7 linked regions of the Oryctolagus cuniculus genome follow. The protein of the gene in region 4 purifies or fractionates together with the protein of the main gene of each other region. This does not show direct contact. Links are inferred from orthologs where the notes say so. Each region holds a gene or a part of one and is shown on either strand. Other genes may lie near its edges.

What was found.
Region 1: the proteins of SMARCA5 (region 4) and BAZ2A purify together in Homo sapiens (affinity purification with western blotting; 3 studies listed by BioGRID and IntAct, with this or other methods). This does not show direct contact. The link is inferred for Oryctolagus cuniculus from reciprocal best matches to the Homo sapiens genes SMARCA5 and BAZ2A.
Region 2: the proteins of SMARCA5 (region 4) and BAZ1B purify together in Homo sapiens (affinity purification with western blotting; 11 studies listed by BioGRID and IntAct, with this or other methods). This does not show direct contact. The link is inferred for Oryctolagus cuniculus from reciprocal best matches to the Homo sapiens genes SMARCA5 and BAZ1B.
Region 3: the proteins of SMARCA5 (region 4) and CECR2 purify together in Homo sapiens (affinity purification with mass spectrometry; 3 studies listed by BioGRID and IntAct, with this or other methods). This does not show direct contact. The link is inferred for Oryctolagus cuniculus from reciprocal best matches to the Homo sapiens genes SMARCA5 and CECR2.
Region 5: the proteins of SMARCA5 (region 4) and BPTF purify together in Homo sapiens (affinity purification with mass spectrometry; 4 studies listed by BioGRID and IntAct, with this or other methods). This does not show direct contact. The link is inferred for Oryctolagus cuniculus from reciprocal best matches to the Homo sapiens genes SMARCA5 and BPTF.
Region 6: the proteins of SMARCA5 (region 4) and BAZ1A purify together in Homo sapiens (affinity purification with western blotting; 8 studies listed by BioGRID and IntAct, with this or other methods). This does not show direct contact. The link is inferred for Oryctolagus cuniculus from reciprocal best matches to the Homo sapiens genes SMARCA5 and BAZ1A.
Region 7: the proteins of SMARCA5 (region 4) and HDAC2 fractionate together in Homo sapiens (co-fractionation; 5 studies listed by BioGRID, with this or other methods). This does not show direct contact. The link is inferred for Oryctolagus cuniculus from reciprocal best matches to the Homo sapiens genes SMARCA5 and HDAC2.

Annotation. Positions count from the first base shown.
Region 1 is NC_091442.1:59,379,538-59,383,528, reverse strand, and holds the start of BAZ2A (bromodomain adjacent to zinc finger domain protein 2A), read left to right. Parts: upstream 1-1,191; 5' UTR 1,192-1,381; coding exon 1,382-1,385; intron 1,386-2,383; exon of another isoform or gene 2,384-2,498; intron 2,499-2,799; exon of another isoform or gene 2,800-3,049; intron 3,050-3,396; exon of another isoform or gene 3,397-3,420; intron 3,421-3,991. UniProt on the Homo sapiens protein: Regulatory subunit of the ATP-dependent NoRC-1 and NoRC-5 ISWI chromatin remodeling complexes, which form ordered nucleosome arrays on chromatin and facilitate access to DNA during DNA-templated processes such as DNA replication, transcription, and repair.
Region 2 is NC_091450.1:50,548,075-50,551,574, forward strand, and holds part of BAZ1B (tyrosine-protein kinase BAZ1B), read left to right. Parts: intron 1-1,709; coding exon 1,710-1,848; intron 1,849-2,950; coding exon 2,951-3,084; intron 3,085-3,500. UniProt on the Homo sapiens protein: Atypical tyrosine-protein kinase that plays a central role in chromatin remodeling and acts as a transcription regulator. Involved in DNA damage response by phosphorylating 'Tyr-142' of histone H2AX (H2AXY142ph).
Region 3 is NC_091440.1:97,388,311-97,391,810, reverse strand, and holds part of CECR2 (chromatin remodeling regulator CECR2), read left to right. Parts: intron 1-528; coding exon 529-682; intron 683-2,409; coding exon 2,410-2,539; intron 2,540-3,492; coding exon 3,493-3,500. UniProt on the Homo sapiens protein: Regulatory subunit of the ATP-dependent CERF-1 and CERF-5 ISWI chromatin remodeling complexes, which form ordered nucleosome arrays on chromatin and facilitate access to DNA during DNA-templated processes such as DNA replication, transcription, and repair.
Region 4 is NC_091439.1:20,991,710-20,994,825, forward strand, and holds part of SMARCA5 (SWI/SNF-related matrix-associated actin-dependent regulator of chromatin subfamily A member 5), read right to left. Parts: intron 262-3,116; coding exon 154-261; intron 1-153. UniProt on the Homo sapiens protein: ATPase that possesses intrinsic ATP-dependent nucleosome-remodeling activity.
Region 5 is NC_091448.1:13,813,639-13,817,820, reverse strand, and holds the start of BPTF (nucleosome-remodeling factor subunit BPTF), read right to left. Parts: upstream 2,801-4,182; 5' UTR 2,574-2,800; coding exon 1,955-2,573; intron 1-1,954. UniProt on the Homo sapiens protein: Regulatory subunit of the ATP-dependent NURF-1 and NURF-5 ISWI chromatin remodeling complexes, which form ordered nucleosome arrays on chromatin and facilitate access to DNA during DNA-templated processes such as DNA replication, transcription, and repair.
Region 6 is NC_091443.1:40,734,629-40,738,128, forward strand, and holds part of BAZ1A (bromodomain adjacent to zinc finger domain protein 1A), read left to right. Parts: intron 1-407; coding exon 408-460; intron 461-566; coding exon 567-1,169; intron 1,170-3,007; coding exon 3,008-3,171; intron 3,172-3,500. UniProt on the Homo sapiens protein: Regulatory subunit of the ATP-dependent ACF-1 and ACF-5 ISWI chromatin remodeling complexes, which form ordered nucleosome arrays on chromatin and slide edge- and center-positioned histone octamers away from their original location on the DNA template to facilitate access to DNA during DNA-templated processes such as DNA replication, transcription, and repair.
Region 7 is NC_091436.1:57,413,417-57,417,698, forward strand, and holds the start of HDAC2 (histone deacetylase 2), read left to right. Parts: upstream 1-1,482; 5' UTR 1,483-1,887; coding exon 1,888-1,939; intron 1,940-2,847; exon of another isoform or gene 2,848-2,990; intron 2,991-4,282. UniProt on the Homo sapiens protein: Histone deacetylase that catalyzes the deacetylation of lysine residues on the N-terminal part of the core histones (H2A, H2B, H3 and H4).

The sequences.
Region 1 (3,991 bases), on a different chromosome or scaffold from region 4:
TGAAAACTGATTTTTGTTAAGATGGAGTCAGAAGGGCCCCCTCCACCTTGGCTGGGTGGTTAGGCCTTCATTTCTTCAGAGTGCCCCACTTCGGGCAAGCCCGGACTTGCATGTTGGATTCCTTGAGGCTCTGCAAGGGTATAAAGTAGCATGAGGCCTAGTCTGAGCTCTGCTAAGAAAGTTCAGGACAGAGAATCTGTTGCACAGAAGTGGCAGTTTGCAGGGTTGCTGGCTTGCACTGCTGAACTAAATGGAGTTCAATCATTTCCCATTCATTTTCGCCCACTAAGAGGTGTAGAGTGGGAAGATAGCACCATTTCAATTTACAAAATAACGCAAGGTCAGACTTGGTGCCCCTTGTGTTCCGTTCCGGACCCAGACCCGTCCTACTGCCCTCTTGTGGTAGTCGGGACCCGGTCTGCAAGAATTCTGATCTCACCATTTTGAAATCCCTGAGGGCCATTTGCTGGGATGTGATTCTCGGCAAATGACTGTTTACAAACCAGCTGGGGCTTTTGTCCTGAGGAGGAGCCTGTTCCTCCAAGCCCCACCTCCTGGGACCTTCAGTTGGGTAGGAGCTGGGCGGAGACAAGCTGAGCTCCCAATTCAGAGGCCCCTGGGGGCTGAAGGCTGGGGAGGGGCCTTGGGAGAGGCGCCCGGGGTGGAGTAGGGGCCTCTGAGCTTCCTCCCATCTGCCTATGACGTCCTTGGCACCAGTCTCCCCTGTGTCAGGATCTGGACGGAAGGTGGAGCCCCGGAGCTGCTTGTGCCCGGTAGTTTGCTCCCAGAAAAGCTCGACTGGGGGAAATGCTGAGTTATGGGGGTTGGGACACTTCCTCCAAGTCCCGACCTGAGTGGGGAAGATAGTGGGGGGAGGCCCCAGGGTATGGATCAGCCCTTTCCGCTTTGTTTTCCCACACCGCCCAGAGGCAGACCTGGGAACCTAAAGGTTGTTTGCATCCCTCCACCCCTTCGCGTCCTCCAGCATTTGTCTAGAACATTCTCCCTCTCACCCGGCTGCAACCGCTTATTTCCTTCCCTCTTTACCGCACCCTCTCTGTGCACGCCGCTGGAGTGTCAACACAGCCTAACCTCCCTCCATATTTCTCCTGGTCTGCCCTGTCCTCGCCTCCTCCCTCTCTCCACCCAGAGAAAGCCCCGCCCTTCCCTCCTCCCTCCCCACCCGGGTCTGTCACACAGGGACATCACCCTACAGCAGTTCGGGCTGTGTGGCTCGCAGGAAGCATACATTGGCCTTTTGGTTCTTGCTAGTTCCCAGCTCACAGTTTGGGAGGATCCTACAGCAAGCCTCCCAGCAAGAAGGGGGTCCAGCAACAGCGAGGAGCTGGGTGGTCCCAGCCTTGAGCCCTGGCAGCCTGACATGGGTGAGTCTGGGGACCAGCCCCGGGGAAGGCCTGAGGGATGCCTAGCTCCCTCCCTGGCTGACTCAGCAGGGGTGGGGCTTAACCTTTGCTCGTTTGGGGGGTGAAGGAGGGGAAATGAGACTGGGGGGGGGGTACAGGGCTCAGCTGGTGAGGCTGCCGCCTGGGATCCTGAGCATTGGCAGGCTGGAGCTCTTAAGGAACAGTGAGGCTGTACCTTAGGCCTGGGCGCCCCCCACCCCCACCCGCGTGGAGTATGGCCCCTCGCTCCTCCCCATCTGAGCTGCTGGGAGTCCAGTCTATAAAGAGTACTCACTGCTGGCCCCCACAAGAGCAAGCAGTGTTGGAGGGTCTCCACGGTGTCTCCCCTAAGCCTTAGTCTCAGGCCTTTAAATCCCTGGCTTCTCTCTTCCCCCACCCTGACCCACCACCAGGTGGGGGCTGCCCTGAGCAGCTGCTTCCTGTTGCCCGAGGTGGCTGCAAGGGTGGCCATGGTGGGGATACTGAATTAAGAGTAAAGCCGCCCCCAGGGTCCCACAGCAGCCTCCCTGCAGCTCTGCTGATGGCCTCCACGCCACAGTGCCGGCGGCCCTTAGGCAGCGCTAGCATGGAGGCTGAGCTCCCAGGAGGCAGCTGCCCTCGTGGCTTCCTGATTCCACAGCCCCCGCAGCTGTAGGGACGCGGCCCCAGAGGAGCTAGGACGCCGGGAACCTGTTCCCCTAGTAGGGCGCCGTGCGTGACCCCCCGCACGTCAGGCCTGGAGTTCCCTCTCCTGCACTCCAGGGCCTCCTCTGGGCTCCTGCAGCGCGGGCACCGGCTCCCAAGTTCAGGCCCACTGCCGCCCCCCACTTCCCCGTAGAAGTTTCTGCGTCCTCTCGGGATCCGTCCTGTTCCGCCATCTGGGACCTTTCCTGGGTCTGGCCCTAGGAGACGCCTCCCGCTGCCCCCTCCCCGAGCGCTCGTCCGCACCCCAGCGGCTCCTGCCCCTTTAAGCGCCACCTCCCCCGCGCCGCCGCCGCCGCCGGCCCAGGGCTGGGGGAGGAGGCGTCGCCGCCGCCCGGCTCGGCCACCTGCGCCGCCGCCGCCGCCGCCGCCCGCGGCCCGGCTCAGCTCCAGGTGAGGCCCGGCACCCACCTCCGGACCCGGAGCCCCCGGGCGGGCCGCTGCCGCGGTTGCCTGGCCCAGAATTCAGGACTGGACGCTCCCGCTGCGGGAGCTGCCCTTCCTCTTCTCTCCCCCGCACTATCGACTCGGCCGTTTTTTTCCCCTGTCCTCTGCCGCCCGGAATCCGGAGGCTCCTCACGCCCCTCCGCCGTCCTCCCCGGCGACTCCTCCAATTCTGGGCCGTGGGGGGGGGGGGCTCCCTTTCTCGCGCCTTCCTCGCCCAAAAAAAAAAAAAAAAAATCTCCCGCGGGCTGGGCTTCGCCTCCTCCCCTCTGGAACGAGCGCTTTCCCACGCCATCCTAACCCCGATGGGAGGGGGAATAACCGCCACCCCCTCGCCTCTCCTTCCCCGTAGTAAGGGGCGGGGGAGCCGCAGCGATTACAGTCGCCGCGCCGCCCTGCAAGTTCAGCTAAGTCCTAGCTGAAGCCGCTCTGGGGCCCTCACCCCCTCCCAGGGCTCCCAGAGTTTGGGGTCCGACCTCAGCACCGCCTACTGAGCCCAGGTGGGAAGGGCCCTCTTCTAGGGCCGGGGTTGGCGGGTCCAGCCTGGGAACGCCCCTCCCCCAGAATCCCGGAGCTGGGGGGGCGGGGATCTTGTGTTTCAGGATTTAAGGGGCTGTTGGTGGAGAGTGGGGCGCGGGGCTGGGGGAGTGGGGGCCGGGGGCCTGTGGGAGTTGAGTTGGTGGGGAAGGCCAGGGAAGCACCGCTTTCTGTATTCAGATGCAAAGAGAGCCCCCACCCTCAAAGGAAACAGAATTCTCCATTTTCTAGCAGCTTCGAGGAGAAGCCCTTTGGGAAGTTTGGAAACCGGGCTGGATCTGAGGTGGTCCATTCCGACCTGGAGGGGAGAAGGGGAGGCCACCATTCCCCCAAAGTATGTCGTGGGGAGCTATTCTGCTTTGACCTGTGGGGGGGAGGGGTTGGAGAGGTTATAGGGTTGAGAGCCGGCTCCTTCCTCGCCTTCCTCGCGCCTGTCCGTCAGCGTGACCCATTCTGCCATGGCCGGGAAAGGAGGTCTTTGAGGACTGCCCATTTCCACTGGGAGTCCTCCCTCCCTGATCCAGCTGGGCCCCAGCTCTGTGGCTAGCCTTGGTGTCTTCACTGCCCACTGCCCACCTCCAGAAGTGGCGGCCTGGGTGTCAGGAGGGTCTTCAGACTACTGAGTGGTGTTCCAGCGGGCTTGGGAGGAGAGAGGGCTGCTGGTGGGAGTGTCTGCAAGGTAGAGGGATGCCAGCGAATCCCTGGGCTCTCTTCCCCCGCCTGGAAGTGGAGCCCGACGCCATGGCAGCGCCCCAAAGTGCGGGAGGTGCCACAGGAACATGGGGGAAGCAGGTGCTAAGTTCTCCCTCCCTCCATTGCTCCTGGCTCGAGGGGGGCCCAGTCTGTTCCCCAGACACTTTTCTAACAAGTTGCTAATAAAATGGCCCCTTTCCCCCTTTCTTGGG
Region 2 (3,500 bases), on a different chromosome or scaffold from region 4:
AGATTATTTTGGTTATTCTGGGTCTCCTTCAGTTCTGTGAGTTTCTTTTCTTTTCTTTTTTTTTTTTAAGTTTTATTTATTTGAAAGAGAGACAGAGCTTGTATCCGTTTGCTAGTTCACTCCTCAAATGTCTGGACCTGGGATCTCAGAGTGGGTGGCAGAACCAGCTATATGAGCCATTACCACTGCATCCAAGGATTTGCAGTCTCAGGAATCTGGAATCTGGTATTGAACCAGGTACTCCAGTGTGAGAGGAGGACACTGGGCTAAATTTTGCAATTTTTTTTTTTAAAAAGATTTATTTATTTCTTTATTTTAGAGACACACAGAAAGGTCTTCCATCTGCTGGTTCATTCCCCAGATGGCCACAATGGCCGGAGCTAGGCTCATCTGAAGCCAGGAGCCAAGAGCTGCTTCTGGGTCTCCCACGAGAGTGCAGGGATCCAAAGACTTGGGCCAGCTTCTGCTGTTTTCTAGGCACACTAACAGGGATCTGGATTGGAAGTGGAGCGGCTAGGACTTGAAGCAGTGCCCATATGGGTTACTGGTGCCACAGGTGGAGATTTAACCTACTACACCATGGCGCCGGCCCCAGGAAAATGAGTTTTTCTTTGATTGAGAAGCGGCCATTACTCTGAGTCTCTTTGTATCATTTACCTTCATTCTTGACAATCATACAATATCATTAGCAAACTTTATTAAAGGTGAGATTAATATAATACTAAAATAGTATTTTTTTTTTAATTTTTGAAAGTAATAGCTTTAGACAGATGGCACTGTCCAGATCCTCAATAATATTGTAGTTGTTACCTCAGTAGAGGGTTAAGGATTAAAAATCCTGGCATTGTTGGGGCCAGTGCCGCGGCTCACTTGGTTAATCCTCTGCCTGTGGCGCCAGCATCCCATATGGGTGCCGGGTTCTAGTCCCGGTTGCGCCTCTTCCAGTCCAGCTCTCTGCTATGGCCCGAGAGGGCAGTGGAAGATGGCGCAAGTACTTGGGCCCCTGCACCGGCATGGGAGACCAGGAGGAAGCACCTGGCTCCTGGTTTCAGATCGGTGTAGCTCCGGCTGTTGTGGCCATTTGGGGGGTTAACCAACAGAAGGAAGACCTTTCTCTCTGTCTTTCTCTGTCTAACTCTTATCTGTCAAAAACAAAACAACAACAACAAAAAAACACCTGGCATTGTAAATCAGTACTCTCTGCAGTATTAAAGTCTGTGACAGTTGTAGAGACAGTTTGAAGGCAAGATTACAGGCTTTTGTTTAGGGAAGTGAAATAAACCCATGCAGTGACTGATGAAAGTGTTTTCCTATTAGCAGTAGTAATTTGCTGAACAGTGTAGAAAAGTGATATTCCGAGTACATTAAGTATGATCCACAGGTGCTTCCTTGCCCTTGTTTTCTCAGTTCTTTTTTCTTGTCATCAAAGCTATTGAGCTGAGTAGCTGTCTGATTCCTGAGGACTGAAATATGGTTCATTTTTGAAATAACTGTTTTATTCATCATGGTCTTTTGGAGGATCCTGTGATTATATCTGTCTAAAAGTGTTCCATTTTATCGACTGTTAGGAAATGTCACCAGGGTTGTTTAAAATGTCTTAACCGGAAGTTAAGTTTTGGAGAGAAAGGATCTGGCACTTTTCACTGTATGTCTTAATTTGTAAGAGTGGCGTTATTAGGAAAAAATAAGTCTTCTTTTGTCTTCAACAGTCAAACTAGAGCGGGAGGCTGAAGAAGAACGGATACGGAAGCACAAAGCAGCTGCCGAAAAGGCTTTCCAGGAAGGTATCGCCAAGGCGAAGCTCGTCATGCGCAGAACTCCTATTGGCACCGATCGAAACCATAACAGGTCAGTTACTAAGCATAGCTGCTCTGTCTTACGTTATTAGTCATGAAACTGTGTCGTGCTCCTGCTGAGTTTCCCAGATCTGTTTGGAGACAGAAGTGCTTATCACACATTTACTGAATATTAACTGCTGAATGTTAGGGTAGCAAAATTACCCTTTGAAGATACCACAGGTCTGAAACTTACGTTATATAGGGGCAGACACTGTGTCCCACATTGGAGTGTGTGGCTTTAAGTCCTGTCTCTGTTCCAGATCCCAGCTTCTTGCTAATTCTCACTCTGGGTTGGTAGGTGACGACTCCTATGATTGGGTACCTGCCACCCATGTGGGAGACCTGGGTTGACCTCCCAGCTTGTGACTTTGGCCTGGTCCAGGTCCGGCCATTATATGCATTTGGGAAATGAACCAGTAAATGGGAGATACCTGTCTGTCTGCCTCTCTTATTTATTTATTTTTTATTTTTTTTGACAGAGCGGACAGTGAGAGAGAGAGACAGAGAGAAAGGTCTTCCTTTGCCGTTGGTTCACTCTCCAATGGCTGCCACGGCCGGCGCAGTGCGCCGATCCAAAGGCAGGAGCCAGGTACTTTTCCTGGTCTCCCATGGGGTGCAGGGCCCAAGCACTTGGGCCATCTTCCACTGCACTCCCTGGCCACAGCAGAGAGCTGGCCTGGAAGAGGGGCAACCGGGACAGAATCCGGCACCCCGACCAGGACTAGAACCCGGTGTGCCGGCGCTGCAGGCGGAGGGTTAGCCTATTGAGCTGCGGTGCCGGCCCTGTCTGCCTTTCAAATAAAACGCATAAAATAAGAGAAATGTCGACCAAATATAGTGTCGACCAACACTTTAATATTGTTGATTATTTTAAAGGTATACATTACATGGAACCTAAAGACAGAGAAATACTAGATGTTATAAAAGTTACAGACGTTATATGAGTCTCAGACTGCAGAAAATGTAGTATCCTTCGCTTTCCCCTGTGGTTGGTGTCTGTTGAATTTTGAGCAAAGAGAGCGTTCCTGTCTGTGGTTGTGAATGGTCTGTGAGGCTCTGTGACACGCGCAGTCGTCCCGCAGTCCTGACTAACGTGTGGTTGTGGTTTGTAGATACTGGCTCTTCTCAGACGAAGTTCCAGGATTGTTCATTGAGAAGGGCTGGGTACATGACAGCATTGACTACCGATTCAACCATCACCGCAAGAAGCACTCGGACTCTGCTGACGAGGATTCCTGTCCCCGCAGTAAGTTGTCCGCTCCAGATGCTCCCTGACTTGATAGAGCTGCGTCCTAACCCATCGCAAGGCAAAAGTGAGTCAGGACTCACCTGCCAGGCGTCCGCTCCACAGCGCAGCGCACTGCTGAACTCGGCTGTTTCCCCTCACGCTTGCTGCGCTGTCGGGGAGTTGCGGCTCTGGCGCCGCTGGCTGGCCGCATGAAATCAGCGGCCAGGGAAAAGGTTCCTAGCGAGTGTGCCGCCTGCCCACCATCACAGAGTGGGCGGGTGGTACAGTGGAGGCAGTGTGACTGGGGTGAAGAGTCGCAGAAAGGCAGAATCTTCATCTGCTGGTTTACTCTCCAAATGGCTGTGATGGCTAGAGTGGACCAGGCTGAAGCCAAGAGCCCCAACTTGAATCTGGGCCTCATTTGGGCCATGGCA
Region 3 (3,500 bases), on a different chromosome or scaffold from region 4:
AAGTCTGAGAGCAGGTATAATGGCACCTCTTGGAATGCCCACATCTCATGTTGGAGTGTTGGTTTGAACCCTGGCTATTCCATTTCTAATCCAGCTCCCTGCTGATGTACTTAGGAAGTAGCAGATGATGACTTAAATGCTTGGGTTCCTGACTTCTGGGTCCAGCCTTGCCCAGCACCAGCTGCTGTAGCCCTTTGTGTAGTTAACCTGGAAATGGAAATGTAGTTAACATGGAAATGGAAGACTGTGTGTGTGTGTGTGTGTGTGTGTGTGTGTTTCTGCCTTTCAAATAAATAAATATTTTTTAAAAACTTAAAGTTTGAAAGTCATATACATTAATTGATATTTTGTTAGTGTTCTTGTGTGTATATAAATCTGTATATATTTTGTACTGATTATACTTGTATTTATGATATAAATTCCCTAGTTTCTATTACCTGTCTGATACTTATTGAATATTAACTTGAAGCAAAGAACTGTTGTTGCATTGTTGTATCCTGGCTTGACATACTCACTGGTTCCTCCCAGGAGACTCCTGTGCTTACTAGAATAGAAAAACAAAAACGAAAAGAGGAGGAAGAAGAACGTCAAATTCTTCTAGCAGTGCAGAAGAAGGAACAGGAACAGATGTTAAAAGAAGAGAGGAAACGTGAGTTGGAGGAAAAGGTCAAGGCAGTGGAAGGTATGTGGGCATTTGTGCTGTCTGGAGGGGTGCATGTTGTGCAGGAAGAAATCTGCAGCCAGATCCCAGTCAAGCTAGGGTCCTTCATTTACGGATGGTACTGTCGGCAATTCTTATTGAAGTATCTTGTGATTGTGTTCTGTCATGTTTCTTCCAAGCTCAATGAATCTATTTCTGTGGAAGCACTTGCATTTATCATTCTGCGTGTACCTTCTGATCTCTGCTGTGCCTCACACGTGGAGCAAAAAAAAAAAAAAAAAAAAAAGATATTGATGACAACTGATTTCAGATGTAACTTTGAACACAAGTGAGATATGCTTAAGAAAAGTCTCATAGTTTAAAGCACACCATTCCCAGTCTAGAATATTACCATTAGTATTACAAAGATAAACTAGTTTTCTCAGACCTAGGTCCAGGTAGATTTTGGTCTTGGACTTTGGTGTAAGGAGATCTTATCTAACTTTCTTTTTCTTTTTTTCTCTCTCTCCTCTCTTTCTGTTTTTCTTTCTTTTCTAGATTTATTTATTTTTATTATTTGAAAGGCTGAGTTATGGTTGGAGAGACAGAGATCATACATCCACTGGTTCACTCCCCAAATGGCCACAAGGGCTGATCCAAAACCAGGAAGCCAGGAGCTTCTTTAAGGTCTCCTCCATGAGTGTAGGGACCCAAGTACTCGAGCCATTTCCAGGCACACTATCCGGGAGTTGGATTAGAAGTAGAGCATCCAGAACGGGAACCAGTGCCCATGTGGGATGCTTTACCCACTACCCCACACTGTTGGCCCCAGGTTTGACTTTTTTAATACAGTGTTTCAGTGAAAAATTCAGGAAATGGAAATAAAAGACTCTGGCCTTAAATCATTTTTTTCTTTCTATTCCTAAGTTGCACTTCTATTACGTAACCATCTCTTCATTCATTCACAGTTCCTTAGTGCACAGACTGATTTAGCCTGTTATTTTATGTGGAACATGTAAGAGCCTGTCTATGTTCTGTTTTCAGTGTTAGATTTAAATTCCTCAAGGCAATAACTATTGCTTTTATTTCTGTATATGTTTCAAATGAAATTATATCTCTTTTAAAGATTTATTTATTTATTTGAAATGAAGAGTTACAGAGAGGCAGAAAGAGAATCTTCCTTCCGTTGGTTCACTCCCCAGATGGCTGCAATGGCTGGAGCTATGTTGATTGGAAGCTAGGAGCCAGGAGCTTCTTCCTGGTCTCCCATTCTGGTGCAGGTGCCTAAGGACTTGGGCCATCTTCTACTGTTTTCCCAGGCCATAGCAGAGAGCTAGATCAGAAGTGGAGCAGCCAGGACTAGAACCGGCGCCCATATGGAATGCTGGCACTGCAGGCGGCAGCTTAACCTGCTGTGCCGCAGCGCCGGCTACGGCTCTGACTCCTCCGACTAATCATTTTTGAACACTGATTCTGTGCAAGGCTCTGTACTGGGTCTATGGTAAAGAACAAATTAATTTCTTCCTTTCCTGGAGTTTACATTTTAATGGTGCATAAACAAATATTATTGAATTATAGATAACAGTGAGAGGTATAAATAAAGTAGACATACCAATAAGAACAACAAAATTGAAGTGACATTTAGATAACATTTCATGAAAGACTTCTGTGAAGATGTCAATGTCTAAAGGAGGAAGAGTGTTGTATAGGCAGACAGAGTAGCAAATGGAGAGGCTTACTTGTACCGTGGCATTTTGTGTTCATTACAGATCGAGCTAAGAGAAGAAAGCTCAGGGAAGAAAGGGCATGGCTGCTGGCTCAAGGGAAGGAGCTCCCCCCTGAACTTTCCCATCTGGACCCCAACTCGCCCATGAGAGAAGAGAAAAGGACCAAGGACCTGTGAGTATTCAATAACCACAATAACAGCACTAGTACTGCGATACAATCCTCTGTGGAAGGTAATAGTGTCATCCCTTAAGGTTGAGAAAAGAGGAAGTGACAGGTGCAGGCATCACTCACAGCTGACTATAGAGCTCTTTACCACGCATGCACAGACACAAAGCGAGTGGGACCCTTTCCTTTCCCTTTTACATTCTTGCTTCCTGTTCTTCAGAAGCACAAGTGGTATTTATACACAAAGCTCTTATTGTTTCTCCCAATTCTTTAATGAAATTTTACACACTCCCTGTGAAGTTGCCAGGTACTGGTTTTTTGTTGTTGTTTGTTTTTTTTTTTTAAAGATTGATTTATTTATTTGAAAGAGTTAAACAGAGAGAGGATAGGCAGAGAGAGAGAGAGAGAGGTCTTCCATCTCCTGGTTCATTCCCCAACTGGCTGCAGTGGCCAGAGCTGCCCCAGCCTGCAGCCAGGAGCTTCTCCCGGGTCTCCCACGTGGGTGCAGAGGCCCAAGGACTTGGGCCATCTTCTGCTTTCCCAGGCCATAGCAGAGAGATTGGAAGTGGAGCAGCCGGGTCTCGAACCAGTGGCCATATTGGATGCTGGCACTGCAGGTGGCGGCTTTACCCACTATGCCACAGCGCTGGACCCAGCATTGTGTCTTTATGCTTCTTGCTGAAAATCAGGAAACAAATATTGAGTATTCATGAGCTCATTCTATTGTATGCTTTTGTGGGTTTTCAGATCACTAAAATATTCATTATAACTAATGTTAAGTTGTAGATCATCTAGGCCGGCCTCATCATGTTTATAGATGAGGAAAAATATATTCCCACATTTGCATCATTTTCATGTTGTTTTCATGGGTGTTAACCAGTTTGTTAAGAATGTTTGAAATCTTACTGTATCTGAAGAGAATTAGAATTAGTAATAATTTTTCATTTTATGATTTACAGCTTTGAGC
Region 4 (3,116 bases):
TCCCAGATAATTCTCATTTAAAAGTACAAAATTGATTGTATTAACTATTTTAAGGAGAGAAAAAGACTAACACATCAGTGATAACCGAATAGCACTGAAGTATTTAGAGGAAAATGAAGTTTATATAATCTTTACATATATCCGAATACTTACTGAAGGCTTTGGTCCTCGTTTCTTTTTCTCTGCCTTCTCCTTTTCTTCTAGCTCCATGTTTTCTCTTTCAATCAAAGTAATCAAGGTATTACACCTCCTCTGGAGTTCCTGAGTTAAAAAAATTAATTTACATGGTAAATTTTTACTTTTCACATGCAAGTTTTCATGCCTCCAATTTTAAAACAAAAGTGTGTTTCAACATAGTAATATAAAATCACTCACATATCTTTGATAAAAACAAGAAAAGGAACTGATTTTCATATACAACCTATATGAGAATAAAAAGCAAAATACTAAATTATTTATTACTTCATTCTGTAAGGTATTCTCTTGTATATATTTTTCATAAATCCCTCCTTCACTTAGAAATTAAAGCAGTGAAAATGAACATCTCATATGTAATACTGCTTGATGGCTGCCTGAGAATTCAGCTACCTAGCACAAACATTTGAGGGTCAGAATCAACTAAAACTTTAAGAGGTATAAACTGTTTCCATAAAAGCATTATCACTAGAATTACAGTAGCTGACATACCACACACTCTTCTCAATTTTGGAAAAAGAACAACAGAGGTCTACAATGAGTTCTTAGCTGTTAACTTGCAGTCTATATAAGATTCAGAAAGAATTTAAAGTGTAATGCAGAAGCAGTAAACACTGAAAGAAACAGCAGTCCATCTGCATCACAGTTGGCTAGCAGCTCCATTTCCTTACAGAGCAAAATTGTTTTCCCTTGTAGTAAGTGATATTATTACAAGCACAACAATAAAATCATCCTAAAATACTTTGTAGGACATACAAGACTTGGAAATATTTGCAATAGTATATAAAAACAGAAGGTAATATACTACATCAAAGCTCTGTTTTCCTTAACAGGTGAATTATGATGAACATACCATGAAGATGCCACACATGTGTGGAGGCATAAATCCTATTGAATAAGGACTTTGGCTCATTAATTTACCACCAAGGGAGGAGATATATATATATATATATATATACACACACATTTATATATATTAAATCATTTTTTGTGTGCCTGAAACATGGAAACATGTTGGGAGGAACCACTGTTTTAATCACAGTATTGTGCTGGTAAATCAATGTGACACTATGTGTCACTACAAAAATCATTCCTTATTCAACTACAAATTGTTCCTACTTCAAAAGATATAAAATAAAGCTTACAGCACCTTAATCTTTCTTTTGGTCAAATATTTACACAGTACTTTTATCTTCAAAGTAGCATCATGTTATTTTAATACATTTCCCTAATTAGAGTAACACAAAACAGTAGCTCCTTTCATATTTGTTGAACTCTTAGTGTAGGGTTAACCTTATGATCATTAAGTAAACTGAAAATAGATCTTTGTAAAAATTAAGAGTGGGAATAGAAGAGGGAGGAGGAAGAAAGACTGGAGTATGGGCAGGAGGGAGGGTACAGTGGGAAGTATCACTATGTTCATAAATCTATATATGAAATATATGAAACTTACAAAACTTAAATAAAGTTAAAAAGAAAAAAATGTTTCAGTGGTCACTTTGGAAACACTGCACATCATCCACTGTCGACAGAATGACAACATACTTTAAATATGCTAAGAAATCTTACTATAAATACAAAATGTTTAAACTTTATCCTATTATAAATCAAACCTGAAAAAAGAATCTTTTTCACACATCATCCTACAAAACACAAATTGAAGTTAAGTATTCAAAGGTGGTGAAATACAAAATAAAAGGGAAATCCATCAAAAACTAAAACTAAAACTCTCCTGAATCCTAAAGATATTAGAAATGGAGATGCTTTGTCTAAAAGTTAGACACCGGGAATAAAAACAAAACTTAACATTAAATCAGTACAAAAAAATACTGTTTTACTAAAAGCCATGTAAAAACTACCCAGATCCAGCATTCTGCAGTGCAGATAGAGAAATTTATTTGCAACATTAAAAAGACATCACATTCAGAAGCTGAAACCAATGATTACATTTCCCTTTTCTTGGAACTCAATTAAAATGAATATCAAAACTAGTTATATTATACATAGTCATGTTGAAAGACATATAATGTTATAGGACAGGACCAATAAACTTTGTCAAAGTCACCAATGATATTAGTTTTTTTTTAAACTGTGGACATGACTGGTTTCCTAAGGAACTGATTTAATCTCTGACACGATTTAATACTGTAACAAAAATCCACTTGAATTTTTTTTTTTTTTTAAATTGAAAGTTACAAGAGGGAGGGGGGGTTGGCAGGGGAGAAAGAGAAGGAGAAACAGAGATCTTCCATCCGTTGGTTCACTCCCCAAACAGTCACAACAACTATGGCTGGGGCCAAGCCAAAGCCAGCAGCCAGAAGCTTCCTCCAGTCTCTAAAGTGGTTGGCAGGGGCCCAGGGACCTGGGCCATATTCTGCTGCCCTCCCAGGCACATCAGCAGAGAACTGGGTGGGAAGAGGAGCACCTAAGCTTTGAACCAGAGCCCTTATGGGATGCCTGTACTGCAGGAGGTGGATTAACCACCTGTGCCAGAGCACTCACCCCTACTTCAAAAACTTTTTACTTCAGTTAAAAAATACTAAACAGGGGTAGGTGTTCAGCATGGTGGTTTAGATGCCAGTTCAGACATCTGTGTTCCACATCAAGTACCTGGGCTCTGACTCTAACTTCCTACCATTGCAGACCCTAGAAAACAGTAGCGTTGGTTCAAGTAGTTGGGTTCCTGCCACTCATGCAGGAGATCTGGACTGAATTCCAGGTTGCCCATCCCAGTCCAGCCTATTGTGGGTATTTAGAGAGTGAACCAGCAGATGGGAGCTATATGAGACCATTTAAAACTAGGTTTTACCTAGAGTTTTGTCTGCCTGCCTGCCTTTCTCTCTCATGAAATTTTTTTCCAAAGATGAACATACTTACACTTAACTTTTTGCTGTATTACAGAAAAAGGTCTTAAGCACTCA
Region 5 (4,182 bases), on a different chromosome or scaffold from region 4:
AATAATTGCGTATCCAATCAATCTTTGATGAGCACCTGCTACATGCCAAACACTGGTTTAGAGCTCAGGGAGTATAACATCAATACCTACCACTAAGGAGTTAATTTTATATATGGATGGGACAAGCATACACAAATTAGGCTACCAGCGTCGCTAAGAAAAACAAAATGTCAAGGAAGTATCACAAATATTCAAGTACTAAAAAAAAAAAAAAAAAAAAAAAAAACAGGAAGCCTCACCACAAACTGTACTTCAACTCAGCACAGCCATCAACCCCCCTAGCATGATTTGCTGGGCCCTCAGATGGGAGTGAAAGTTAGCGGAGCCGCCTGCCTGCCAGCCTTAGCTCTAACCGGGAAACTTCCTGCAGTGGTGGCAGTCAGTCAGTCTCCATGATTCCACACAGGGGATGAACCTGCGACTGCTCAGTGACAACTACTGCCACAGGAGATGACAAAACTTGCATCTAGCTCCTTCTGCACAGGAGACAAGCGTGCCGGACGCTCGGTTCTTGGGAGCAAGACAGGCAGCTGTCCTGTCAGCCCAAAGAAATGAACTACCTTTCTTCATTTAATGTCAGGGCAATCTAAGTGCGCGTCCACCTGTTAGTACCCACACTTCCCCCATATGTAAGCATTTATTTAAAAAAAAAAACATTTCCTTCTAACTGCTTCTACTACCCTAGTCTCTCTAAAAATAACTCATTTCCTCATAAACTTTACTTTGTAAACGTTCTTAACACCAAATTGTAATTTAGTTCATGGAGGTTAACAATATATAAAGGTCATGCAGATTGCTGCTACAAGTTACTTCTTTTTTCCCCTCACAATTTAGTGAGCCACAACCACGGATTTCACACAAAGCAGCAGCTGCGAGTGTGCTTAACCAAATGCATCTCCTAGAGGAACTTTCTGAAAACACTCGGAGCAGCCTTCACTCCAGCGCCAGGGAGGGCTTTTTTCTTCAGAAACAAAACGGAAAAGGACAAAATGAGTAACAGATCTGCTCGTTCTGCCGCGGAACTGAGAAGCGATCCCAAAAGTTCATCTCCGGCAAGGCCGACTGCCCGATCAGCTACCTCCACGGCCTCCGCAACAGGTGACGCGAGGCGGCTCAGCCCGAGCGCAGCCCAGGGACCAGGCTGGCGGCGGCGGCCCTGCCTGCCCCTCTGCACTTCTGCTGTGGACTCACCAAGGTGCTCTGGGAGATCGGGTGCATTTCCAAGGCTGCTTTCCTGCGCTTTTCTGCACTGCTTTTTAATCAGCAATTGACTAGCAACTGTTGCACCGGCCCATTAGCCCTCCAAGCATAAAAACAAACACGGGACCAGATAAGGCTTCCCGACTCAGTCCACCGACCCATCTCTTTCACGCGATTTTGTAAGCCGCCCAGCTAGGCGTGCGAAGAGAAGCGTGTTTTGTGCGTGTTTGTGTGCCACAATCTGTCCCAATCCTTAATTCCCTTTTAAGGAAGGGATACATAATAAAAATCTCAAAGAGCCCACATTAGAAATGCAAAGAGGTTTTTGCAAAACAAGAGGCTTCTTTCATTCCAAAAAAAAAAAAAAAAAAAAACCACACCAAAACAAGGGGAGAAAAATGAATGCAATGGATAGGCGAGTGCCAAAGTTTCGATCCTGCCCGGTGGAGCCACTGCACTGGCACAAATTCTGAAGAGGAAAAAGAGGGGGCTGGGGGGGAGAGAAAGAGGGCGAGCGAGCGTGTGGCCTGCAAACTGCAACAATGCAATCTCCATTTTGAACAATGCGCCTCTTTCCTCTTGTAAATCTAGTTTTTTTGCCACTTGCTGTGCCGTCGCATTTCCCCTCCGTCCGAGGGGGGGGGAGGCGGGTGGGGGGAGGCCGGAGCAGGATGCCCGGCACTCGAGAGGGAGTGAGCAGGGGGAGGGGGAGGCGGCGGGGAAGCAGCCTGCAGCCACCGGGCTGGGTGGGTACCTGGAGTGCTGCTGTAGGTGCTATGGCTCCTGAAGCTGCTCTCCGTGCAGTAACTGGCGTCGTCGTCGTCGTCTTCCATCTCCTCCGGATAATCGGAGTCATCGTCGTCCTCCTCCATCTCATCTTCCTCGTCGTCCTCCGAATCCTGGGTCTCCTCGGCGTCGCCGTCCTCCTCCTCCTCCTCCTCTTCCTCAGAGACCATGTCCTCCTCCTCCTCCTCCTCCTCGCTCTCGTGGTCATCGTACACCACTTTGTTGACCGCCCTCCGGGCCGGGGTGGTCCGGGCCAGGTGGCCGCCGCCGCCCCCGCCCCCCGTCCTGCCGCCCCCGCCTCCTCGCCCCCCCCGGCCCGGGGCGCTGGTGCTGGGGGGGGCCGGCGGCGGCGGCGGCTTCCTCCGGCTACTGCTGCCCCCCCGGGGCGAGCTCAGCCGCGTCTTGGGCGCCACCTCAGCCTGGGCGGCGGCCCACCTGCCCCGGCTGCTGCCGCGGTGCCGCGAGCGGAGCCCCCCGATGGGTCCGGACGTGGGCGGCGGCGGCGGCGGCGGCGGCGGGGCCGGGGCGCAGCGCTCCGCAGCGGGAGCCGCGGGCTGCTTGGGCGGCCTGCCCCGCCGGCCCCTCATGTCGGAGCCGAGGCGCGGGGGGGAGAAGGGAAAGCGGAGGGGGGAGGGGCGGGCGCGGGGTGGGGGCGGTGGGGGGCGCCGGGGCCGGGTGGGGAGGCCGGCGGGGCCGGGCGGGAGGGGCCCGGCCGGCGGAAGCGGGTGGAGGGAGAAGGCTCAGTCCGAATTGCTGGGGCCCCACTCCGGATCGCCTTCAGCCGCCATCTTGTTTCTTCCCTCTCGCTCGGTGACTGGGGGAACCGACAGCGGCCGCAGGCCCGGAGCGCGGTCACGTGAGCTGCGCCGCCGACGAGCCTGGGACGGAGCGAGGCCGCGCGGCGGCCGCTAGAGGGAGCGCGGGAGCGCCGAGTCGGGGGCGGGGAGCCGGGCCCGGCGCTCCGGGACCGCGGGCGCCGGCGGCGCTCAGGAGAGAGGGGCATGCAGCCCCCTCCCCAGTACCCCCCGCCGAAGGCCCCGGGGGACGGGAGCCCCCCGCGCGACGCCCGGCCTCGGCAGGGCCTCCGCCGGCGCCTCCCTTCCCCGGTGGCGGAGAGGAGGGCAGGGGAGCCCCGACATACCGCCCCCTTCCCGCCCGCGTGGGGAAAGTGATGCTGAAAGTGCCCGAGTGTCACCACTGAGGGCGCGGCGCCGGCGGGAACGAGCCCCCCAGAAACCTGCAACTCCCGAGAGTCCTGAAGTGGACCCGGGGGACCCGTCGCGAGCCACGCCCCGGGCTGCCGGGCCCTGGCGGGGCGTCCACACCCGGAAGGCCTCCGGGGGTCTCGCGGGCACCTGCCCCCGTGTCCCGCTGCGAGCCGGACCCCCGCGGCCGGAACTTGGAAAAGGCGGCAGCCCACCTGCGGTCGACCTCGGCGCCTTGTATGTTTCTATTATTGCGAGAGGATTTTAATAGCTTTACCTGACGAGTTCACCTGGTCTCAGTTTAGCCCAGGCAAGCGACCGTGGTGATGATATCCCAGGCAGCCCAAATCGGGGGCGCTCGATCCCGGCGGGGCAAGGCCTGGTCTGGAGGTTATACACACGTAATGCTACTTACTCAAGTATGTGACGACCGAGAAGTAATTTCGAGAAATAATAGTTAGCAGGATTCTGCCCACCAAATGGCTTGTTTCGACCCAATTAGGAGGAAGAAACACATGCGAAATGAAAATTAATATAGAAGCACTAATTGCCAAATTAACGCATTCAGTACGATTCAGTTGAGCACCCAAGGTGACAAATTTACATACCCACTGGGCCCAGGTAAGTAATGAAAGAAAATGGAATGGGCAGGTGGTCCTGCCACCCACTGGGAGTCCCTGATGGGAGGGAGCCCTGGCTGTTGTAGCCATTTGAGGAGTGAACCAGTGGGTGGAAGATCTCTTTCTCCCTCTCTCTCTAACTCTTTAAAATAAATATTAAAAAAAAAAAAAAAAAGTAAAAGTGGCCATGTTTTGTTTGAAAGGGATGGTTACTGAAATGCAGGCCTAACATGACCAGCTCCTCAGATGTTTTCAAGAGCGTGTGGAAATGTGGATTTCCTGTGAAATCTCATGGCTTTTAAATGTTGGGGGGGGGCAACGTTGTAGCAGGTTAAGATACCTCCGGTGCTGGTTCCAATCCCAGCTGCTTC
Region 6 (3,500 bases), on a different chromosome or scaffold from region 4:
GCTGATCCTTACCTTAAAAGAAGGGCTATGTGGCTGTTACAGGTAACTAATAGACTGTGCTCTTCAGTGTGCACATAACAGATTTTGCATGTTCCTCTAGACTGAAGGGTATCGGTTTCTTATAGTGTCTTAGTCTACTCAGACTGCATACCAACAACAGAGATCTGTTTTCTCATAGTTCTGAAGGCTGGAAGTCCAAGATCAGGTGCCGGCAGGGTTGGTGTCTGGTGAGGTCTCTGACTGGCTTGCAGATAGCATCTTCTTGCTGTGTCCTCAGATGACTTTTTCTCTGTGTATACCGAAGAGTGAGTGCTCTGGTGTCTCCTCCAATTCTTATGAGGACACCAGGCCTGGCAGATTAGGGCTGCACCCTGTGACTTCGTTGGACCTTAATTTTCTCCTTAAAGGCACTGTCTCCAAATGACATCACACTGGCAGTGCTTCAGCAGCATGAATAGGGGTAGGTCACAGTTCAGCCTCTAACAGTAATAACTTGGGGTAACTTTGTATCTCGTGTTTTTCTAGTGAAAATTTCAAACATATGACAGTGATAAATGTTTTTTCAGCTACAGGGAAAAGAGATCAAAGTGGATTTAAAGAACTTATCAAGCAAGAAGAGATCAACTGTGTAACAGGAGAGCCTCTTAATACTGATGAGGAAGAAGCTTTAAAACAAGAACACCAACGAAAAGAGAAAGAGCTTTTAGAAAAAATCCAAAGTGCCATAGCATGCACCAATATCTTTCCCTTGGGCCGTGACCGCATGTATAGACGATACTGGATTTTCCCTTCCATTCCTGGATTGTTTATTGAAGAGGATTATTCTGGTCTCACGGAAGACATGCTGTTGCCTAGACCTTCATCATTTCAGAGTAATGTACAGTCTCAGGATCCTCAGGTATCCACCAAAACCGAAGAGTCTTTGAAGTCTGAACCTACCTCCAACGTTGACCAAGGTCTGTGTGATGATTCTGTGCAGCTGCCAAAACCAGTGCATAAGCCAAATCGGTGGTGCTTTTACAGTTCTTGTGAACAACTGGATCAGCTTATTGAAGCCCTTAATTCTAGAGGACACAGAGAAAGTGCCTTAAAAGAAACTTTGTTGCAAGAGAAAAGCAGAATATGTGCACAGCTAGCCCGTTTTTCTGAAGAGAAATTTCATTTTTCAGGTATAGTTTCAGTGAAAACTATTTCTTTTATTTTTTCTTCTGCAGTCACCAGTCATTGAGTAAACATTTTTTGTGATGATTAGAAGTCTATTTAAAACACCTCATCTTCATTTTGACCCTGCTTTCAATTTGCAAGTTAGAATTTAGGAATCTGTCTTTTTTGTGAGACAGAGCTCCCATCCACTGGCTTATTCTCCAGATGCCCACAGTGCTTGAGGTGGGGATGGGGAGTGCTGAAGCTAGGAGCTGGGAACCTTGTCCAGGTCTCCCGCATGAGTGGCAGGGATCCAGCTGCTTGAGCCATCGCCACTGCCTCCTAGGGCCTGCAAATTCCACTGGGGTCTATTTTGAAAATGAGGAACACATTTGCTCATTGTACACATTCTTCCTGTTCTCATTCCTTGGTCAATAGACTGAATGTCCAAAGCTCTAAGGCTGCCATCAGTTTTGGAGATAGTATAGTAGGAATGAGGTTACTCACTAAGCATTTTAGCTGACGGTTCCAGGACAGGTTCCATAAATGATCACTTTTATGGAGATTGGTTGCAGTGGGAGATCAGGTAGCAGCAGCATTTCCTATTTGATGGCTGATCCAATGAGGATAGAGAAAGCAGTAGATATTTTTTATATTGTTAAATGAGATTCTTTTGGTATAGAGCCGCTTATATTTAGAATCAGTTTACTGTGACTTTTTCAGTTCTTCCTAGGATTAAAAACCATAGCAAATAATTCCTTCTTTTTGAAAAATAGCTTTAACATACTGTCTAATTACCTACATAAAGTTAGAATTCGGGAGTAGATGTTCAGTGTAGCAGTTAAAATACTGCTTGGGACATCTGTATCAGTGCCTGGATTTCAATTGTAGCTCTGCTTTCAGTTCCATCTTTCAACTAATGTGCACACTGGGAGACAGAAAGTGATGACTCAAGTATTTGCATCCCTTACACCCACATGGAAGACCCAAGTTGAGTTCTCAGCTCCTGCTTGGCCCAGCTCTAGACGTTGTGGGCATTTGTAGAGTGAACCAACAGATGGGAAGTGGTGTGTGTGTTTCAAATAAATACTTCTAAGGTGCAAGTGTTACTACATTCCATTTTAGGACAGTTTTATCACCCAAGAAGACAATAACCCTGTACCATTGGCAGTCTCACTTCCCCTCAGTCCCTTGCAACCATAACTATCTCTATAGATCACCTTGTATGTATATAACACATTTTACTTACCCATTTGTTAGTTGATAGATATTTTGTTTCTACATTTTGACTGTTATGAATAATGCTACTATACACATTCACATTTAAGTGTTTATGTCAACATAGATTTTCATTTATTCTGAACACGTACCTAAGAGTAGAATTGCTGGAAACTGGTTAATCCTTTGAGAAACTGCTAGATTGTTTCCCAGAACAGCTGCACTATTTTATTTTCCCTCCCCAGTGTATGAAGGCTGCAATTCTTCTGTGACCTTGCTGACACTTACCTGATTTTTATTACAGATATTCTACTGGGTATGAAGTGGTACTTCATTGTGGTTTTGATTAATGATGTTGAATACATTTAAGTGAACTTATTGGCCATTTGTATATCTTCCTTAAAGAAAAGTCTACTCAGTTCCTTGGCCCATTTTTAAACTGGGTTATTTGTCACTTTCTTAAATTATAAGAGTTCATTCTGGATAAAAGTCCTTTACAGATGCATGATTTGCAAGTATTTATTTTTTATTTTTGGTACTTGAGGATTTACAGAGTGCTTTTTTTTCATTATCTCAAAATTATAACAGTCACATAGGACTGTAGTTTTAATAAAATCATAATGGAAGTATTTGATTACTGTTTTAGACAAACCTCAAGCTGATAGCAAACCTCTGTGTACTCGGGGAAGATCTTCCAGTGCATGTGATCCATCTCAGATGTCTGCAGAAAGGCAACTTGAACTGAGACTGAGAGACTTTCTTTTGGATATTGAAGACAGAATCTATCAGGGAACATTAGGAGCAATCAAGGTTTGTACCTTTCCCCATTTTTAGTGTATACAATTTGTGTGTTCTAGGATTTTGATCATATTTGTTCATTACTTGATATGTAAGTCACCTGTATTTTGAATAAACACCAGGGAATGATTTTTTTTAATGAAAATGTAAGTTTATGCTCCTGCATAAAATGTTTATATATAAATATATACTTTCTTAAATATTTTGAATGACAGTTTTCTTAAACAGAATTTAATGGCCGGCGCCGCAGCTCACTAGGCTAATCCTCCACCTTGCGGCGCTGGCACACCAGGTTCTAGTCCCGGTTGGGGCGCCGGATTCTGTCCCGGTTGCCCCTCTTC
Region 7 (4,282 bases), on a different chromosome or scaffold from region 4:
TGACAGATTTGGTCCTTCCTCTTTTGAAACCATTATTCTAGTGGTACATTCAGACAAGCTGTGGGCAACTGTAATGAGGTAAAGGTTGAGCCAGAGAGGCACAAGGCATAACCACCATGGAAAGGCACATGAACATATTTGGGGAGAGCAGGTTAGGGGAATCTTCTCGAAGGAAATAAAGTATCATTTCAGACTTTCACTGTGTTGGTTCTAGGGGACAATATTAGCTTCTACTAAGTTAACTTGTTCTGATCTCAGAATTTTCCCAATTTTGGACTTGATAAACACTTGAATCAATACCACATAATCAACCGCACCCAAGCCAAGGTTTCTCCCACCAGGGTTCTTGCACCAACTGTGGTCTTATTAAAACTACAAACAGAAGGGTTGGGAAGGGTGTGGCAGGAGCCATCCTTGACACACCTTTTCTAAATCTCATGGGGATGTGGTCCAGGAAAATTGCTGCTCCGATCATAAATACCGTTGTCAATTTGGAAAAGTGAAAAAAAATAAAAATAATATTTTTGAATGTGACTTTAAACGGCTCCTGCTTCAATACAGGTCTCTCCACTCCCCTCTTTTCTTGACTGGGCATATGGGAGACAGCCTGCATGTGGGCAGCGTGGGAAGGTATTGTACATGACTTAGGAAACAAGTGCTACACTGCGGGCTGTCTTCACTGTTCCCAGCAACGTGGCTGGCTTAGGGTAGGTGCCTGATAAATGCTGATTTATTGAACGCAGGGTCACAGGCATTTGTAATTTCCAAATGTTTGAAAATCCTTTCTCCTAGCGTCCTATCCAGTGTCTAGTTTCGTGGAAAAGCCAGGGTATACGGAGTTTGGAAAAAGACGGAGACCAAACTCCCAACTATCAGCAGCTGCGAGGGCCAATTTAATCTGCTCCCAACTACAAGAAACAGAAATAGTACTTACACCCCGGTATCGGAGGGAAGCTTTACAAAAGTGCAGCATTTATTCTAAGTGGGTATCAATGAAACACTACTCTAAATGCAAACACTTTTAGAACCCTGCCCCACACAAATGAATTTTATAAATGTCCATTCAAACCCAAGCGGTACACTCTTCCTTGAAAGCTTACAATAGGTCAGTGTCCAGAGCACTTAAAAGCCAAAAAAAAACCGAAATATTAGTGAACAGATGAGAAAACCATGCGACCACGTCCTGGGGCCGCGGGCGAAAGCCCCGCAGCTCGAAGGCCCGGAAGGAGAACGTGAGTGGTCTTTCCCCGCCCGGCGCACGGCACGTGGTCGGCTTGGGCGGGAGCTTCGCGACAGTGGGGGAGGGGAACAGCGTGGGACGACACCGAGGGGGTCTAGACAGCCAAGGCTACGGTTGAGCAGGCGCCGACTGCGCAGGCTCGGGATAGGCGCAACCACTGCGCGAAGATCCGAGGGTGGGAACACACACAAGGGTCGTCGTTCTCTTGGTATTGCTGAGGAGGAGCCTGCCTTTTTCATAATTTTAAGGCTTTGAATGGCGCTGTTCCCCGCAAGCTGTTCATCACTATAAGGATTCTCACCCAAGCCTGAACCGGCCTCTTTCTCTGGTCATGCCCCTCCCTCCCCCGTGGAGGACTCAGTGGACGCGTCCCACCTCCCCTCGGCCTCCGGAGGTGGTTTGGCGGCCCCCTCCCCCTCCCCAGTGTCGCGAGTTGGCGCCGCTGCCACCCCCGCTCCGCGCTCTCGGCCCCCTCGGCCGGGCTGTACCGAGCCCTCCGGGGACCCTCCCCCTCCGACCTGCCCTTCCCCGCGGGGCGGCATCCCCCACCATCCCCCTAGCCTTTCTCTCCGCCGAGCCGCGGCGGCAGCTGCAGCCACAGCAGGAGGAGGAGCCGGAGCCCGGAGGCGGCGGTGGCCGGGGAACCCATGGCGTACAGTCAAGGAGGCGGCAAGAAGAAAGTCTGCTACTACTATGATGGTGAGAGGCCGGGTGGGCGGGTAGGGCTGGGTCGCCGGGCCGGGGGCCGCGCCGGGCTCTCTGGCCGCCGTCGCCAGTGGGTGCCGGCTCAGAGGGGTGGGAAGGAGGAGGGACCGACGCTTGGCCGCATCTTAACCCGTTGCGGACCCGACGCGGCCAGCGGGAGACCCTGCACCTCGACCCCCTCCTGCGGACCCTGCGGGCGGGAATGGGGGAACGCCCCGCTTGCTTTCTGCCTCTGTCTTCGGTCGTGCGGCCCGCAGCCCCCAAGGTGGCCGGCTGTGGGGACCACACTGGCCTAGCCCCGCCGGTGGTAGTGGCGAGGGGGTCGGCCCTCCCTGGCACTTCACCCGCCTCTCGTGGCATCGCGGTTTTGGGGGACCCCTTCGCCGGCATCCCGCACCCGATCCTTGCCCCCCTGAGTCAAAATTCCTACCCCGGCTCTGACTACACAAAGCCCAGCGGCCGCAAAGCTCCGCCCCTGCAGCCCCCTCCGGTGCCCCTGCCCCCGCTTGCGCCCCTCTGCTCGCGTCTGGCCCGGGCGCCTTCTCTCTCCGCTGGCAGCCGCACCCCGGACCCCTCGGCCCGGGGCGATGCCGGAGTGGGGGTTACTGGGAGTGGGAACCCGAGTCCGGCGTGCGGCGCCCTCACCCCCGTGTTCTGCGTGGGCTGCATCCCTCTCCTTTGTTCACCCGGCTCTTTGAGCGCCACTTTCTCCGGATTCAAATTGATGGGCTCCACTTCCTCCGTAACAATTAGGGATTTCGAGTTTGAGGCTGGCAGTTGGCGCGGCGAACGAGAGAGGAAAATGAAGAGCTGTGTTCCTGCTTGTGTTGTAGGTCAGACTCGATGGGTCCTGGCTTGCCCGTGTGGGAGGTGGTTACCACCCACTTCTTTGTTGTTGCTCTTTGTTCGATCAGGAAGTAGACCCTGCTTTGGAGGTGTAGGGGACCATGGGCATCTGGCTTGTGAAGGCTGTTCTCAGGTGGTGGGGATCCTGATGTAGAAAAACTGGAGGGAGTAGTGCAGGAGGACTAAGGAGTTTAATCAGGTAAGCTTGAGCTCACGGTATGGTGAATTATAAAAATCAGGTTATTTAATTTTAGGGATTCTGTAATACAGAGTAGCGTCAGTAACATTACAACTCTGGATTCTGCGTTCTGTGCCAGCCTAAGTTACACTAAATGGAACACTAGCTTAAGAGATTTTACAAAGATCTGAACTCTAATAGGTTACCCTTTGGGAGAAAGAGTACTGAAATTTAACAAAGCCAGGCTGAGTGATCTCACAGTCCTAATTGTGGGAAGCAATACGAATACAGATGTGAGAAGCCGTTTCTTATGGATTGTATACTGTAAATCACAACTTTAGAAAGGTAGCTAAGGTCAGTATAAACCTGGCTGTAACAGCAGAACCGTGCCCCTTCATTTAGCAAGGATCCCATTTTTTAAAATGCCAGTTTTATATGAAATAGCCATCTGAGTCATTTGTGGGAAATTATGTATTATGGGAAAAAATTTAAATTGACCCATAATACCTGGGACAAAATAGGAACAGCCTTGTTTTAAAATGTATCCTTTGAAGGACTGCAAATTGATTTGAAATTATACTGGGGCTGTAGAGATGGGAGTACATTTTAACATGAATTTTATTGCATATTTGGGTTGTTGGCAAAACCTTTCCCCCTACCTTCTCTAGTTAAATTGGAAATGTAACAACCTTATTTTTATTTTAAAATATTTATTTGGGAGTTAGAGGGAGCGATAGATAGAGATCTTCTATCCACTGGTTCACTCCCCAGTTGTCCACGATGGGCCAGGTGGAAGCCAGGAGCTTCTTCTGTGTCTCCCACATGGAAAGCAGGGGCCCAAAAGCTTGGGCCATCCTCTTTGCTTTGCCTACGCCATTAGCAGGAAGCTGGATCAGAAGTGGAGCAGCTGGGACACAAACCTGTGCCCATATGGGATGCCAGTGTTGCAGGCTGTAGCTTTACAGCCCGGGGGTTGTTTCCAGAGTTTAGAGATTTGTTTTTTGGCAGGACTTGGAACAAAGGGAAAAAATTTAACAAGTTGCAGAAAGTGGTGCTCAGTGTCTGTCAGTTGTCACTTGCTGTTGGCAGTGATGGGGTCCATGGAATAAAGTGCTCGCAACTTTTTGTCAGCAGGCTTAAACTGTAGGAGCAGGAGGTATGCTTGGGTAGCAGTTTTCTGAGAACTGTTTGTTCCTCAGCCCATTTATGATAAGCCTTTGTTGAGAGTGGGGGCAGACATTGGTCCCAGGGGCAGGATGCAATTGGGTAGAGTGGAAGATGTTTGACAGTCTTGATTTGTGTTAGTCAGTACT